Pelodiscus sinensis: one gene and its partner. Each later gene encodes a partner of the first gene's protein in a complex. Links are inferred from orthologs where the notes say so. Each region holds a gene or a part of one and is shown in the gene's direction. Other genes may lie near its edges.

Evidence for each region.
Region 2: the proteins of AAK1 (region 1) and PDLIM5 are in contact, whole or in part, in a crystal structure (PDB 9F6S), measured with the Homo sapiens proteins. The link is inferred for Pelodiscus sinensis from reciprocal best matches to the Homo sapiens genes AAK1 and PDLIM5. Residues at the interface, in NP_055726.4 of Homo sapiens: Asp956, Leu958, Ile959, Asp960, Leu961; in NP_006448.5 of Homo sapiens: Ala12, Pro13, Trp14, Gly15, Phe16, Arg17, Leu18, Phe24, Gln67, Ile70, Lys71.

The regions. Positions count from the first base shown.
Region 1 is NC_134738.1:1,521,549-1,529,403, reverse strand, and holds the start of AAK1 (AP2-associated protein kinase 1), read left to right. Parts: upstream 1-4,803; 5' UTR 4,804-5,152; intron 5,153-5,379; 5' UTR 5,380-5,565; coding exon 5,566-5,728; intron 5,729-7,855.
Region 2 is NC_134715.1:19,389,014-19,397,164, forward strand, and holds the start of PDLIM5 (PDZ and LIM domain protein 5), read left to right. Parts: upstream 1-5,067; 5' UTR 5,068-5,213; coding exon 5,214-5,221; intron 5,222-5,718; exon of another isoform or gene 5,719-5,858; intron 5,859-6,712; coding exon 6,713-6,848; intron 6,849-8,151. UniProt on the Homo sapiens protein: May play an important role in the heart development by scaffolding PKC to the Z-disk region. May play a role in the regulation of cardiomyocyte expansion. Isoforms lacking the LIM domains may negatively modulate the scaffolding activity of isoform 1.

The DNA.
Region 1 (7,855 bases):
CAGGGTTAGGTTGTGCCAGGAGAACTGGAGCCCCAGGAAAGGGACAGTTTTCCGTAACATGCAAATCATGGGGCTGCCCTTCCAAGGGCTGCAATATGAGACCGCAGGGGAGAGCTTCCTGCAGAGTGTCCATTGGGGACAGCTGCCCCACCAAGGGCAGGGGTCTCCAGCCTTTTTAACCACAAGATCACTTTTTCAATTTAAATGCAATGTAAGATCTACCCCCAACCCAAATACCCTTGCCTGGCTTCCTTCCCCCCCATCCCCCCATCTCTGGGGCCCTGCCCCTCCTCCACCCCTTCTCTGACGCCTCCCCCTGCTCGCTCTGTTGCCCTTCCTCCCCGCATCGTATTCACTTTCACCAGGCTGGGGTAGGGGTACAGGCTCTAGTCTTGGTTGTGTGGCAAATGCCTTAGGCCAGTGTTTCTCAACCTTGTTTTATAAAGTGCCCCTTTTTCAAAAAAAGAATAATAAGTACCCCCAGTACCTACAGTTTGCACACAATTTGTTTAACAATTTAATTGTAGTTGATGAAATATTTGGTAAAAAGTAGAAAAATAATAAAAAGCTGTAAAACTTAAAATAAAAGTTGAGTTTTCTCCAAGTTGCAGTTGTTGATGCACCCCCTGTCCTTTGGGTACCCCTAAGGGTACTTGTACTGCTGGCTGAGGGGTGCTGCCCTAGGCCACTCCAGGGTCCACCCCCCCCCCCCTTGCCTTTAAGGGGTCCCTTTCTCCTGCCAGACCCTGGCCCATCCCTGGGGCAGCTAGAGCTTGAGCCCACCACCCTGTGCTCTCCAGGGGAATGTTCTATCCCTTAAGCCACTCCAGGGCTGAGCCCACCCAGTTCTGGTGGGTCCTAGACCCTGGGGTGGCTGTCTGGTTGCCACAAGATGGGTGCAGCTTGGGTGAAATGGAGACTCCAAGCCACAGCCCTGTCCTCTGCAGGCAAGTGCTGTATCTCCTGGCCCACTTGGGAGCCCAGCCCACCTCCCTCTGTGTGTGTGTGTGTGTGGGGGGGGGGGGTTAGTTCTTGAGCTGCCAGCAGCAGAACTTGGGCTTGAACCCACCATCCTGTGCTCCCCAGGCAAATACCCCATTCTCCAAGCCACTCCAGAGCCCTGTTCCCCCTCCTCCTCTACCTTCAGCAGGTCCCTTATCCTGCCTTCCTAATCCAGAGCCAGCTCCACCCCTCAGGCAGCCTGTGTTGGCAGCCCAGCCGTTGCCTGAGTGGGTGGAGGGGGTGGCACGGAGCCCACCACCCTGTGCTCCAGAGGCTAATGCCCATCCCCAAGTTCACTGGAGATCCCACTCCACCTCCCTACCTTCAAGCCGTCCCCTCTGCCCACCCTGGGAGTGACCAGACACAGGACTAGGGACGCTCTGAAGGCAGGGCTGTAGAGTGGGCAGTGGAATGGTCTAGGGGATAGGGCAGTTTCCTGGGGAGCCTAGCAGGGTAGGTTCAAGTCTTGCTAGACAGCTGCCCAGGAATAACACAGTAGAACTAAGACAGCCCAGGCCCTGTCCCACCCCCACAAAGCACCTGGCATGTACAGCAATGGCTCCATGTGCTGCCCCTCATCCACAGGCACTGCCTCCACTGGCCACAGTTCTCCATCATTGACCAATGGGAGCTGCAGGAGTGGTGCCTACTGACAAGGACAGCATACTCTGACTTCCCTAGGGGGCTGCAGACATGCCAGCCACCTCCAGGAGCACAACCAACCCCAGGGATAATTACTCCAGACATGACCAGTTTGGCATTTTAGTACTCGAAGAATTAAATTTAAGTGTAAGAGAGAAATGAAAGTTACGAAATGCACAGTCCAGTCAAACACTAAACAGAACCCACTTTGCCAGCAGTAAAAGTAGCAACAACCCCCCATGTACGTGTGGGGTCAGGGGATGAGAGGGAAGGACAGTGTGTGTTTGTGAGTGACAGAGACACACACAGTGCGTGGGCGTGACAGAGATTTGCATTGCCAAGCTCCCTCCATCCCCCCCTCTCTGTGGATACAGGGTACAGGAGTGGGGGGAGGAGGGACACCCTGACATCAGCCCCCCCTTCTCTCTCCCACACCCTGCACAGCAAGTAGGAAGCTTCCAAGGGGCAGCCGAAGGCAGAGGGCAGGAGCAGCATGACAGTGGGGGAGGGGCAACTGAAGTGCCAGCACTTGAGAGTTTCCCGGCCAAACCCGTCAGGATCCCCTGTCAGAGGTTCCAAGATCTACTGATAGATCCCGATCGACTGGTTGGTGACCCCTGACCAAGGGTGACCCAGCAGACCAAGGCCAAAGCTTCTATTTACATTAAACAAACCCTAAAAACTCTCCCCCCTCACCAGCCTGGTGAACCAGACTGGCACACAGAGAAGAATAGGTTAGTAATGTGTTGATGTTATTTCTGTGACAAGAGAAATTTCAGGCTTCAGCCAAAATTGGGGCCCATTGTCCTATGCCAGAGTGAGCGATAATTTTTGATTGGGAGCCACTCTGAGATTTTGGTAAGTGGTCAAGGGCCGGCCTCTTCTATGGAGGGTCTGGGATGGAGGTTGGGTGCAGAAGGGAGCTCGGGCTAGGGAACAGGGATGCAGGTCTGAGAGGGAGTTTGGGTAAAGGAGGGGGTTGTGAGCTGGGGCAGGGGATTGGGGTGCAGCAGGGGGTGCATAGTCAGGGAGGGGGTATGGATGCAGGAGAGGATTCTGGCCTGTGGGAGTGGTGTAGGAAGATGTGCAGGGTCTGGGAGGGAGTTCTTGAGTAGTGACCTAGGGCAGGGAGTTCGGATATGGGATGAGGCAAAGTACCAGAGGCAGGCTCTGGCGAGGAGGCACTTACCCTTGACAGCTCCCAGCCAGCAGCCCAGCGGGAACTTCAGGCAGACTCCGTGCCTGCCACAGTCCCAGACCACTCAAAGTAGTTGGCTGCGGGTGCCTCATGACTCTCTGTACCAGCCAATAGGAGTTGCGATGATTGTGCTGCATGGGGTGTATGTGTGTGTAGGCGTGCGTGCAAAGTCACCCCACATGGCCCCCCACGGGCTGAATCCAAAGGCTTGGTGGGCTGATCTGCCCCGTCTTAGGTGCTGTAAGACACCTTCTGCCCCAAGGAGCTTTCAGTGTAAACAGAGGCAAGCACAGGGTGGGAGACAGGAAACACAGGCACTGAGCACGGACGTGACGTGCTCAGGATCACACTGCGAGTTAGCATTAGAAAGTGGGGAAAGAGCTGACATCCAGCACCCACCCTGCCCTGTGAAGCTAGACTAGCTACTGCAGTGGCAAATTTTGGGGGCTCGCTGGGGGGAGCTGTGGACCAGCCATCCAGGACTGGCCCTAGGCCAAATGGTACTCTTTGGCACCCCCTCGCCTTTGCCCTCCCAGCATTTGATGGTAGGCAGGCCTGCTGACAGGGAGGGGCAAAGGGGCCTAAGGCACCTGCCACCACCACTGTTACTGCGGCAGCAGCAGTGGCTGGACACCCAGGGCTCTTTAAATTGCTGTTCCAGATGCTGCTGAAGGGGTGGGGGTGTGGTCCCGGTGGCAATGAAGCTCAGATACCTTGGTCCTGCCCCCCCATCCCTGCTCTTACAGCCTGAGGCCCTGCCCCTTCTGGGAGCACAGGGTCACCCCCTCCCCTTTCCAGAAGCCTGGTGAGTGGCCTCTGGTACACAGGGGATCTAGTGGTCCCTTCTGGCCTTCAACTCTTTGATGCCATGAAAAAGAAATAATAGAATAACAAATAATGAGTCTTGCCAACTCCGAACATTCATAAGCCAAACTACAAAAAATCTTGAGATTGGCTTAAAAACCACGGGATTAAAAATGATAAACTTTGGATTCTTTTTGTTTGCCCTCTTGTCTTCTGAACTTCTGAGGCACAATCAGGCCATGCCGCCATCCGGCATGAAGGCTAGGAACTTAGCTTTGATTTAAAAAAAAGTGATAGTCTCTCCTAATTACATGCTTCCCAGGTGTGGGGGTTTTATGAAACCCCAGCATCTTCCGTGGCTCAGGAGAAAAATCGCAAGCCCTGCATCTCGCTGAAGATTTGTGACTGTTACAGTGACATTTGTTTTTTAAAAAGTGCAGCTATAGCAAACAGCTCACATGGCTAAGGCACAGCCCTGCTCTCCCAATTCCAACAGAGCCTGTTCGTTTTGCTTAAGCAGCTGGCTGACTGTTTAAGGAGGCTGAGTAGATAAACTCCTACAAAGCAGGATGGGGGATGCCAGGAAATCAGGTCCACTGGAGAACACTACAGGGGCCTGGACTAGATAACCTCTGGAGGTCGTTCCCAGGCCTATAGTTCTGCGATTCACGGGTTCTCTCTGCTTTTCCGGCCAGGATGCTGTCCCTCTTGGTGCTGCCATGGTGGGGTCCAGAGAAACTACAACTCCCAGGCGCCCCTGCTGTAAGTCTGGCAGGGGGGAAGAGGAGGGGAAATTGCTTTTATACTCATTAATTAATCAAACCCACACCAAAGAGGGGGCACTGAACAAGGGTGACAACTAAACTCTCCACCACGCTTTACTCTTAACCCCCCACGCAAGCGCCTCTCCTGGTGCATTATGGGAATTGTAGTCCCTCTCGCTGCACAGCTGGCCGGAGCTGCCACCCGGGAGAACTACCACTCCCAGAATGCCATGCGACAGAGGTCTGTTGCAGTTTAAAAAAAACACTCTTTGATGCCCAGTTTCCTGGGCTGCTGCTTTAATGCTGGATCTGAGCCCCCCACCGCCCCCCTGCCCCTCCCAGCCCTTTGCCTTGTTTCGTCACCTGAAACCTGTTTGCAGGCGGGAGACTCATGCTGGGGATTAAGGGGTTAAAAAAAAGCTGGTGGGGGGATGGGAAATCACCCAGGCACCATCTCCCCACTCCACCCACCCTCCCTGAAGCAGGGACTTCCTGTGACAGTTCATTTCCTGGTTGGATGGAGCTGGAGCAGAGGGGGGGCTGGAGCAGGCTCAGCCTGTAATGGTCTCTGGCTATCAGCTGCTGTTAGCCTCCCTGAGTGGCAATGGTACCTTATAACAGTGTTTCATCCAGGGCTCGTAGAGCGGCTGCAGCAATGGTAACATTGTGGCCAAGTTGCTAGCTGGGTAGGTCCAGCCTTTCTGCAGTAAAGGGCTGGGGCAGCCTTCCCCTTAGCTCCTAGGTGTGTGTGAATGGGGGGCAGGGATCCAGGGAGAGGTGCATCATTCTTTTATAACCAACTGCTTGCAGTGCTTGGTGGGAGGAGTGCAAGAATTTGTCTGTTAATATTTAGGGGAACGGTGGGAACATCTTTGGGGGTTTTAATTTTGTCCAGGGTCTGGCTGATTTTTTTAAGTATTTGTAATTGTTTGTCCTCCCCCCTCCCTTGTTTTGATACTGTCATTACAGGTCTAAATCTTACAAGCTCTGCCTGCCAGGAGGAGGGGGAAAATCATCTGCCCTACTTAAAACAAACAAGCAAAAATCACCGCTGGGAGTGGATTATTTTAATTGGCTGGAATCAAGAAGGGGAAAATATTGGACCTTGGAAAATAACATCGCCTTTGATTATAATACAGTTATATCTCTGGGGAGATGAAGAAGTTTTTTGACTCTCGTCGAGAGCTGGGGGGTTCTGGCCCTGGTTCTGGTACCAGTAGTGGAAGCGGCAGTTCTAGCGGACCAGGGAGTGGGTACATTGGCAGGGTGTTCCATATTGGGAGATACCAGGTGACGGTGGATGAAGTGCTGGCTGAAGGTAAGAATGCAGTGTCTTTATTCTCCCTTTTCCATTAACTACAAACAGAGGCTTGGGCCTTTCTTTAATCATATTTCTGCCCCCCCCCCCTTTCAAAATTTAATTGCCCTGGAGGGGTTTGTGAACTGGTGGCTTCTACAGCTGACTGGTTTCTCAGATACGTAAATCAATTGCAGGTAATGCTGGTGATTTTTATATATATAAATCCAAAGGGACAATATAAAAACAGCAGGTACTGGATTTTCCCAGCTTCAAACTTGGAATGCTTTAAAAACAACCATCATGGTACATTGTGGTGGGGGAAAGATGCACTTATGAACAACAAAAGCAGTGGTCTTCTAACTTTTTGGCCTGATTCCTTCTACCCACCTTCATCGGGGGACACCTTGAAGTAAATTTTCTCTGTCATATTTTATAGATCAACCAGGGCTAACTGCTGGTTGTGGTGTGGGATTGTTTGTTTGTTTGTTTGTTTGTATATGCGGGGCTACTGCAAAGAAAACTGGAATCCAGATTACATGTTCGGGTTGTAAAGTACTTTAAAAGGGGGAAGAAAAAACCCAACAGGAAGGGCTTGAAATCCTAAAGGTGTTTATACATTAGATGTGACATTCTTGCAATGTAAAAAACTGGTGAAGTGTGTGTAAATTAATATTTTATCTGGAGCACTGCTGCTGTAATTAGAATTTTACTTGTCATGTATGTGCTTAGGCACTAACAGAATCTTCTGAATGCTTCTTGCTGGTAACCTTACCCTCGACCTTCAGAATAATAATGTTGCCTTCCCTAGATCTACTCACAGTTCATCCTTTGCACAGCATCCTCTGAATCTTCAGTCAGACCAGTGTTTTGTCAGTTGTCTAGGGTTCTGCAAATGGATTGCCTGGAATAGGCCAGGGTTAAAAGAGAGAAGGAAGCTGGTGCATGAGAACTGAGTGGGGGGAGGAGGGGAAAGGGAGCAGTGTGTTAGGAATCTCCAACCATCTTTTCAAGTCTTTGTTGATTTCAGTTCCTACCTGGGTGGTGACTCTGGTGAGCGCTGGGGATGAGATGGGGGAGGAGGCCAAAACCTGTCATCTGGAAACACCCCACAAGCTCGTAGGTGGTTATACAGAACTTGTTCTTGTTGGGTGAGGCACTGACTTTACGGGTACAGTCTGGGTCTCTTGGCCTTTAAGGACTATAGCCTGCTGGCAGCGGGAGTCCAGGAAGGAGGCTCACTACCAGCTGGTCTTGCTGTCATTACACAGCTGGCCTAAAACTTGTTCTCTGGCCTGCAACACAGGCAAAATACATTTCTTTGCGGGTGAATAATCTCCGCTGGCAGGTCCTGCCCAGGATGCTGACAGCAGCATGAGAAAGCTTCCATGCTCCTGGGACCTCTCCTGATCAGCCCTCCTAGGATGCATTGTGCGCTTCAGTTCATCTGCGCCCATGCTTAGGAGGGGTGGGCTAGAGGCAGGGAGACTTGGCCCCTTGCTGTGCTATCAGTCACACAACCGCCTGCTGGAGACCTTTTGTGACTGAGTGTCTAGGTGCAGAGAGCAGGGACAAGGATTAAGGACTCCTGGAGTCTAAACCTGGCTTTCAATACGGTTGGCTGACTAGGGGTTGGACTGGGTCAAAGGACTTGACTCCTGGTCCCGACTCTGCCATCAGCCTGCTTGCACAAATGAATCCGGGCACGGCTAACCCTGTAAAACAGGTCTGATTCATGCCTTGCAGCAAGGCTACAGGGATGTGCGAGGAGCTGAGTCCCTTCTCCTGTTGGATGCTGGGGCCAGGGTTCTGTCCCTCAAATGAGCCCGTTGCTACGACTGGTCAAAAATTCCAAAGGAGACTCAGCACCTCGCCTCCTTGGTGCATGTCCCAAAGGCCTTGCCAAGTGACTGGTTAATAGCAGAGCATTGGGCTAGTGGCTTGGTGAAGGCCCATGGGACCCTTCTGCCCCTGGGAGGAAGGGGGAATGGAGGAAACCACCCTTCCATAAATAGAGGGTGCAGCCAAAGAAATGGGGGTCACTTGAGAAGGCAGCATAGGTCAAACTTTCTGCAGCGTCGCATTTTTCCTGCCTGTTGGCATTGCATTCAGTGTGGCACCGCAGTGCCCATTCAGGGCTGTTAACGT
Region 2 (8,151 bases), on another chromosome or scaffold:
GGGGTGTCCGTCCCTCCATCCCGGTGAGGGAATTTGGGTGGGGAAAATGTCTGAGATGTGGGTTCTAGGATGGAGTTTGGGTGCAGACTTTGGTCTGGGCATGGGACTGGGGTACAGGAGAGGGTGTAGGCTCTGTGAAGAAGTTTGGGGTGCAGGCTCTTGGCTGGGTCAAGAGGTGGGGGTGCAGGAGGTGGTGAAGCACTTACCTGGGGCACCCTGCCCTGGTAGCAGCTCTCAAGCACCACATCAACAACTCCCATTGCACATAGGGGACTCAGGGCAGGGACAGGGGATAGAGACACTGCTCCCGCCCCCTTAGCCCAGGGGCTATAGGAATGTTTTGGCCACCATACATGTAGGGAGTAAATAGGAAGCTGCTCCAGCCCTCCTGCACTACCAGTGGTGTTGGCAGTGAGGGCCCCTGCATCATTTTTAAATTGCCCAAGGCAGCAGGCTGGCTGTGGGATGCACAGTGTGGGGGGGAGTGGATATGTGGGGGTAGATGGATGGGGTCAGCAGATGGGACCCAGGAGAGACCAGGCCCCAAACTTTGCTGGAGCCAGTCCTGAGGCCAGGAATATCCCCAGAGCCTGGGCACCATCGGCCCATATAACTTGCCATCCCTGACGTAGGATAAGCACGAGACCGGAAGGGAAGCAGGACTGGCACACTCTCAGAACTTCAGCTGCTGGCAGAACAAAGTGCCCCCCAGCTGGTCCTAGTAGTGGGAGGTGGTGTGGCACAAATGGTGTAGTCACGTGTGCACCCTTATCCTGCTGTACCCAGCACAACTCTGCCACACACCTGAGCGTTACTGCTGCTACTATCCACCTCTCTACTGCAGCTGAATCTATTACTGGTCTTGGGACTGTTCTCCAGGGTGGCTAATGGGGATGATTATACAGCATTTCACACTAATAGGAATGCTGGACGTCTTAAGTCATTCAGCGTCCTGGCAAGTGCCCAGAATGTCTGTAACAAAATACAGGACTATGTAGCACTTTAAAGACTAACAAGATGGTTTATTAGATGATGAGCTTTCGTAGGCCAGACCCACTTCCTCAGATCAAATAGTGGAAGAAAATAGTCACAACCATATATACCAAAGGATACAATTAAAAAAAATGAACACATATGAAAAAGACAAATCACACTACAGAAGAGAGGTGGGATTCAGGGGAGGGGGGAAGGAAGGTGAATGCCTGTGAGTTAATGATATTAGAGGTGGGGAAGGGGAGATGTCTGTGAGTTAATGGTATTAGAGGTGATAATTGGGGAAGCTATCTTTGTAATGGGTAAGGTAGTTGGGGTCTTTGTTCAGCCCCCTGCGGAGAGTGTCGATACAACCGCATCTGCTCTAATCCCACTGACAGAGACCAGAAACTTCAGGATCTCTACTAAGCATTTATACACCTCAACTACCTACCTGGAGAAATAAAAAAGCAAATTGAAAGAGCCAAACAAATACCTAGAAACCATCTACTACAAGACAGACCCAAGAAAACCAACAATAGACCACCACTTGTCATCACCTACAGCTCCCAACTTAAACCTGTCCAACACATTATCAATAAATTACAGCCTATACTGGAACAGGACATTAAACTCCAAGAAGCTCTGGGAGACAGACCCATAGTCTCCTATAGACAACCACCTAACCTCAAGATGATTCTTACCAACAACCACAGGACATACCACACTAATACCAACCCTGGTACTTTCCCTTGCAACAAACCCCATTGCCAGCTTTGTCCACATATTCACTCTGCTGATACCATTATTGGGCTTAACCAAGTGAGTTTTAAGATCAAGAATACATATTCCTGCGCATCCAGAAATATAATCTATGCTATCATGTGCCAAAAGTGTCCATCTGCTATGTACATTGGACAAACGACTCAGACACTTCGCCAAAGAATCAATGCCCACAAAACAGACATTAGACAGGATCACAAAGAAAAAAAACAGTTTCTTGCCATTTCAACCAGAAAGGACACTGTCTCAATGACCTAATCACATGCATCCTACTTCAGAAGACATTCAAATCTGCACTTGAAAGGGAATCCTCTGAACTGGCATTCATGCTAAAATTCGACACTCTCCGCAGGGGGCTGAACAGAGACCCCAACTACCTTACCCATTACAAAGATAGCTTCTCCAATTATCACCTCTAATACCATTAACTCACAGACATCTCCCCTTCCCCACCTCTAATATCATTAACTCACAGGCATTCACCTTCCTTCCCCCCTCCCCTGAATCCCACCTCTCTTCTGTAGTGTGATTTGTCTTTTTCATATGTGTTCATTTTTTTTAATTGTATCCTTTGGTATATATGGTTGTGACTATTTTCTTCCACTATTTGATCTGAGGAAGTGGGTCTGGCCCATGAAAGCTCATCATCTAATAAACCATCTTGTTAGTCTTTAAAGTGCTACATAGTCCTGTATTTTGTTTCAGCTACACCAGACTAACACGGCTACATCTCTATCACTATTCCAGAATGTCTGTGGCACTGAGGTAACCCTAGGTGCTGTGAACAGTATTTTGCACCCCCCTACCCTTCGCTAATTGGGCGGGGCTGCCCTGGCTGGCAGGCCAGGGCCTGACTTTCTGTGCGAGCTCTCTTTTGGCTCTGTTGTCCTGGCCTTTCACCCGCTCCTCCTCCCCCGCTGCCCGCCCGGCAGGGCTTCCTCCTCTCTCGCTCGGCTGCAGAGCAGAGAACTTCCCCATCCCTCCTGGGCCGGGGGAGGAGCAGAGCGAGGCGGAAGTGAAAACAAGCCCCGCGGGACGCGGCAGCCCCAGCCTCTCACACGCGCTGCGAGCTCCCTGCCTCTCGCCCGGGCCTCTCCCGCCGCGCGGCTGCTGCAGCCCCCAGGTGAGCAGGTGCCGAGCGCCGGGGCGGGGACCGCCTGGGGCAGCGCGGCGAGGCACTTGCGGCCGAGGAGGGGGCTGGTGGCTCAGGTGCGGCGCTAGCCAGGCTGCAGGAGGGGCACCTGCCGGAGGCGCCGCAGCGTGCTCCCCTCCTCCGGGGCTCCGTGCGTGGGAACCGGGCCGGGACAGCTCTGCAGCGCGACTGCAGGCGCCTGAGCTCCGGGGCGTCTGCAGCCCCATCCCGAGCGGCGCATCCACCCCTGGTGCCGGGGGGAAGGCGCGGGGCGCAGTCTCTCTCACGTTGAAGCCCCGAGGGGGGTGGGCAGGTCGGAGCCCCTGGGGGAGCGGGACGGAGAGTTGCGCCGATGTGAAGCTGCAGGAAAAGCGGGTGTGTCTAAGCGAGGCTCCCCTGGGGTGGCTCTGAATTGTTACGCGCTTCGCGAGTGGCTTCGGTTGGTTTGGTGTTTTCCCCCCTTGAAAGCCCCTTGGTAGCCGACCGTGCTGTTGGTGTTAAGGGAAGCGACAAGCTCCGAGCTCTTACGGGTTACCGTGTAACTGATGTGTGCTCCTCTTGGAGAGCTCTGCTTAAAACAGCAGCAGCCAGCGGAACGGGGACCAGAGTCAGTCTTGTAGGTGCCAACCGTGCAAGCCTGTGTCGGGGTGTCATGTGCCCGCACTCTCTGCTTTAGTTTTTACATGCAAGGATGTTGCACAAAGTAGCACCAAAAATGGTAAAAGTGAGGGGAGAAGGGGGGGGGGGGGGGAAGAAGGGAAAGGATTTGCGAAGGAAAGTTCATAGCTGAGCTGGGTTGGGCAAGTTTAGGGTGTGTAATTGTTTGATTATGGCCATGCATTTCCTCTTGCCTGTGGGGACTTTTGTAACCAGATAGCTGCAGGAACAGTAAAGCCAGCAGTTTCACTTGTAAGCCCAGGCTTAATCTTTTTTTAAATGGTGTGGTGTTCAACGGAGTACACACACAAAATCAAACCTAACTTTTTGATCATTTCATACTATAACACATGTCCACTTAAGATGTCTCCTTTTTTCTTTTCTCTGCACATTGGGGATACTGGGATATTCACCGCAGCAGAACACCAGATTTTCCTGAATGCACAGTCACTTTAGTATCTCAGTTATCTGTTAGCATTACTGGAAGTATGACCTACAGTTGAGCATTTCTGATTCTGTCCTACAGGGGGCAATGATGCACTTAACCTGTCCTCACTTATGTTTAGATGGCAAAATGCTTTGTTGAGCACTTACACAAGAAGGATCACTGAATGTTCAGCCGCACCAGAGTTTCACAACTTAGTCCTTAGCTAGTTGTTGCACATTCTCTTTTCATAGAGAATTCTTTCATTCTCTTTTCATTTTCAATTAATAGAGCCCTGCACATACACCAAATTTATACCTCTCTCTCTTCTCTGCAAACATGGGCCATGGATATCTGCAGATTTGGGCTCTAGATAGCAGATGGATGCAGATCCACATTTTATATCTTCAGACATGTCTCTTGATATCTGCATCCATGGATATAAGGAGGGCATCCATGCATTTGCTGGGCTTTGAGTCACATGATGTTAGCTGTAGAATCTTTAAGGATGGCACAAACACATCAGTAAATCTGTTTTCTTAGGGTGTTTCTGTAGCTCTCCTCCCCTTCCCCTCCCCATCCCAAAAAAGTTCTCTAGTTTTATGAGATGCAGAAGTTTAATTGCAAGCCCAAAAGGGGTATGTGTGTGCAGAGAGGCATATTGTATCTTACCATTCCTTTTACCATTACAAACCAATTTCTGGTATCTCTTCGTGAATTATTTTTTAAACTCTCCCCCTCTTAACCCATTCAGGGAAAAATATTCACATGCTTAATTTTGCTCTCAGTTGGGGAGAGAGGGGGAAATCATGTCACTTACCGGTGATCAAACTGAGTTCCAATGCATTAGATAAGGTTTGTTTTCCCCACCACCATTAATCTGAGAGATCACATTAAAATGATAAACTTAATTTAGGGAGAACAAAACATTTTCTCATGGTAGTAAAATCTGTAATAAATATGCACTTTAGATGGAATTCAGTGTATAGTACATAGAATGATTCAGTGAATTGTAGTTCTTCCTAGAACTAATGAGCAAATTCTATAAGGATCATATCTCAGTCTGTGGACATTTTCTTTTGTGTGGGTGAGGGAGGGAAGGGAAGGAAGGAAGAAGAGAAGGATCCTTTCAAGTAGGGAGGCATTGGCATTCAGGGGACTATGTTTGGTCAGCTGCGTGTGGGAGCACAGGAGATGGAAACGTAAGAAATCAGTGGGCGCAATGGTCCTTTTGCAGCTTCTGGCATGAGGATGTAAGTAGTTCAGGGACTATCTTGTTCTGTTGTTAGCTTGGAGAAATAGTTCCTAAAAGTTATCTTGTTAGCATGCTGTAGCCAGATATTCCTATTTTATTTAGTTAAATGGAACTACTGGTGTGAATAGGACCATTACACTTTGATCCTTCATATGGAAATTAGGCTTAAGAGCTAGATTCTTTTGGTGAAATGTATCTAGAAATCTATATAATTTTGCCTCATTACTTTTGTGCATTTCTAGGCTTGGAGTGAGACATTTTATGGAACTTCCCAGGCAGTAGTCCCATAGAAATGACATTTTATTAGATTTATGTATACTGTAGTGTAAACATACTAAAAAAATAATCCTTGCAGTACTTGATGCTTGAAACACACTTTTTTCTGCTTGACTGAAGTTCGATCTTAAATTTCCTATATTAAGTAAATGTGGAATTTTAAATTGCTCTGGTGTAGTCTTACAGTAATCCATCCCTTAGTGTGTGCACGCTCTCTCCCCTCCCTCCACTTCAAATATAAAAATAGAAGGTAGCTACTACCTAAGACGTCATTGTAATGTTGCCTGTATGTGGTGCAGCTGAAGCTGTTAATTTTGTTGCTCAGTATCAAAGATAAGTGCACAGCGTGCTTTGTAAAGGTAAACCTTCATCCTTGTTGGGGGAGGAGGGAAAATAATCTTGGGATTCTCTTAAAATACTTTTTCTTAAATAAGTTGCCTTGGTATTTGGTACATAATTTTCTCTGCATATTTGTTTCTTTTTTTTTTCTGATTTCTTCTGTAATAGCTTGTATGTGCCTACTATAAAAATGGAAATAGTTATCTGATGTACATAAACTATTGGCAAAAATGCCAAGAAACAACATTTTCCCCTTGGAATAACTTTCGATAATACATTTTGTAGTTTTTGGTATTTGAATGTGTAACCAAAACAAGCACACTACTTGTGAATGAGTGTTTGAATGCATCTGTGCACTTGTGACTTAATAGTATCACAGGAAATATATTTTGTGGGAAATTACTGTGCTAACATATTTTCCATAAACTGTTAACATTTTTATGTACTTATGTAATTTTTAGAACCATGTAAATTTAAATTTGATCCAGTACTTAACATTTTGTGAAAACCAGATTAAATAACCTCTAAACAAAAACATAGGAGAAATTTCCACATTTTCTCCAAAGAAAACAATTATTAAAAAAAATCACTGTATGCAGTATGTGAAACCCAAATATTGCAGTACTAAGAATCAGAAAGTAAATAATGTTTTCATTTCCTAATCTGGTAGGCCAAAAAGTCAGCAGATAGGACAATTAGTAACAAATGAGACCTCTATAGCCCATTATTAACAGTTAAAGGTCTTTAAAACAGGGAAAAAAATTATTTGCAACATATATTTGAGTTGACAGTGCCCCCTTTTAAATTAATATTTCTATTTCATTGTGTACATGGCTTATTAAGATTTACACTAAAATGTAATCCTCTTTCACAGACATTTATTATCTGGAACTAGTCCTTCAGCATCCAACACCATGAGCAACTACAGTGTGTCTTTGGTCGGCCCTGCTCCTTGGGGTTTTAGACTTCAAGGTGGAAAAGACTTCAACATGCCTCTGACCATCTCTAGGGTGAGCATCTATGCCTTTATAGACTTTACAAAAATGTCTGCTACATCATGTGGTACCTGAAACGTGCAAAGATGAGTAGTTCTGTAATATGATCCTCTTGTTGAGTGTGAGGACAGATGGCTTGTACAGTGGGTGTCCCTCCTTGTCCCTTAGGATGATGGAGTAGATTTGTTTTTTTTAAAAAAACCTGTTGGGAGAATTAATTTATTATGTTGGTGGGAGGCCTCAAAGTTACCTTAGGGAGAACAAATGTTTGAAATAATAACAGTATTTTGCTGCTTTTGTATGCATGAGATGAAGTATTTCCTTTCATTCTAGCTTTGGTAGATGTGTATGTAAGAAGCAGAGGTGGAAGACTACTGACATAATTTAAATCATGTCTTAGGCTAAAGTTAGCTTTTGAGTAGCAGATGCTTTTTTCCCCTCTCTCCTCTTTTTCTTGCTGGGGGCATATCTCAAGCACGAGGGGGCATGGACCTTAAATCAGAAAATAGCTCATGTTGTCTCTATATATCCAGCAAATTAACTGAATTTATGATCTTTCAGTATCTTACTCTTGCAAAATCTGTTGACAATTTTTTTAAAAAAGTAGTTTAACTATGTGCAGTAGTTGTGAATGGTGTTTCATTAAAATGTGCCTGAATGAACATGCCAGTTTCTCACGGTGCTGTACAGTATAAGTACTTGTAATTGCTGCTATTCAGAGGATTTGAGGAGCTAAGTCAAAACAGATACAATCTTTGTATGAATAGCAGTGCAGTGTCCAGCTAGAGTTCACTACCCTCAAATAGTGCTTAATGGACACTTTTCTTCAGATCTGGGCTGAGTTTCAAAACCTTCCTCAAATATCCGAGGCTGTTATATTTGGCGTGTATAACCTATACATACAAATTTTTCAATATTGAAGCTTTTAGAATATTAGGAATCCTAGTTAGAGTGCATTTTACTTCTCTAATATGTGTGTGTCATCTGTAGAAACCATTTTTTGGAAGGGCAAGTCTACTCTAAAAGTAGTAAAAGAGTGTAAAATGGCACCTTATTTAACAGATTCTCTTTCCCTCAACTCCCCCTCCCCTTGCTTTCCCTAAATCACCCTATTTACTTCAGTGACAAAGATAAGTTACTTCTTACACCTGTTCAGTGCAGTGTCAGTACTACCCTGGGAGAGGGCTCTGGTTTCTGTTGCATCATCAAACTTAGCTTTTTCAGTTGCAGGTTCAAATGCAGCTGATTTATTTAGACCTAGATAATCTTATTCAGTTGTGGGTTACACTGTTGAGATCAAGGTGAAATAGTTGCCTTG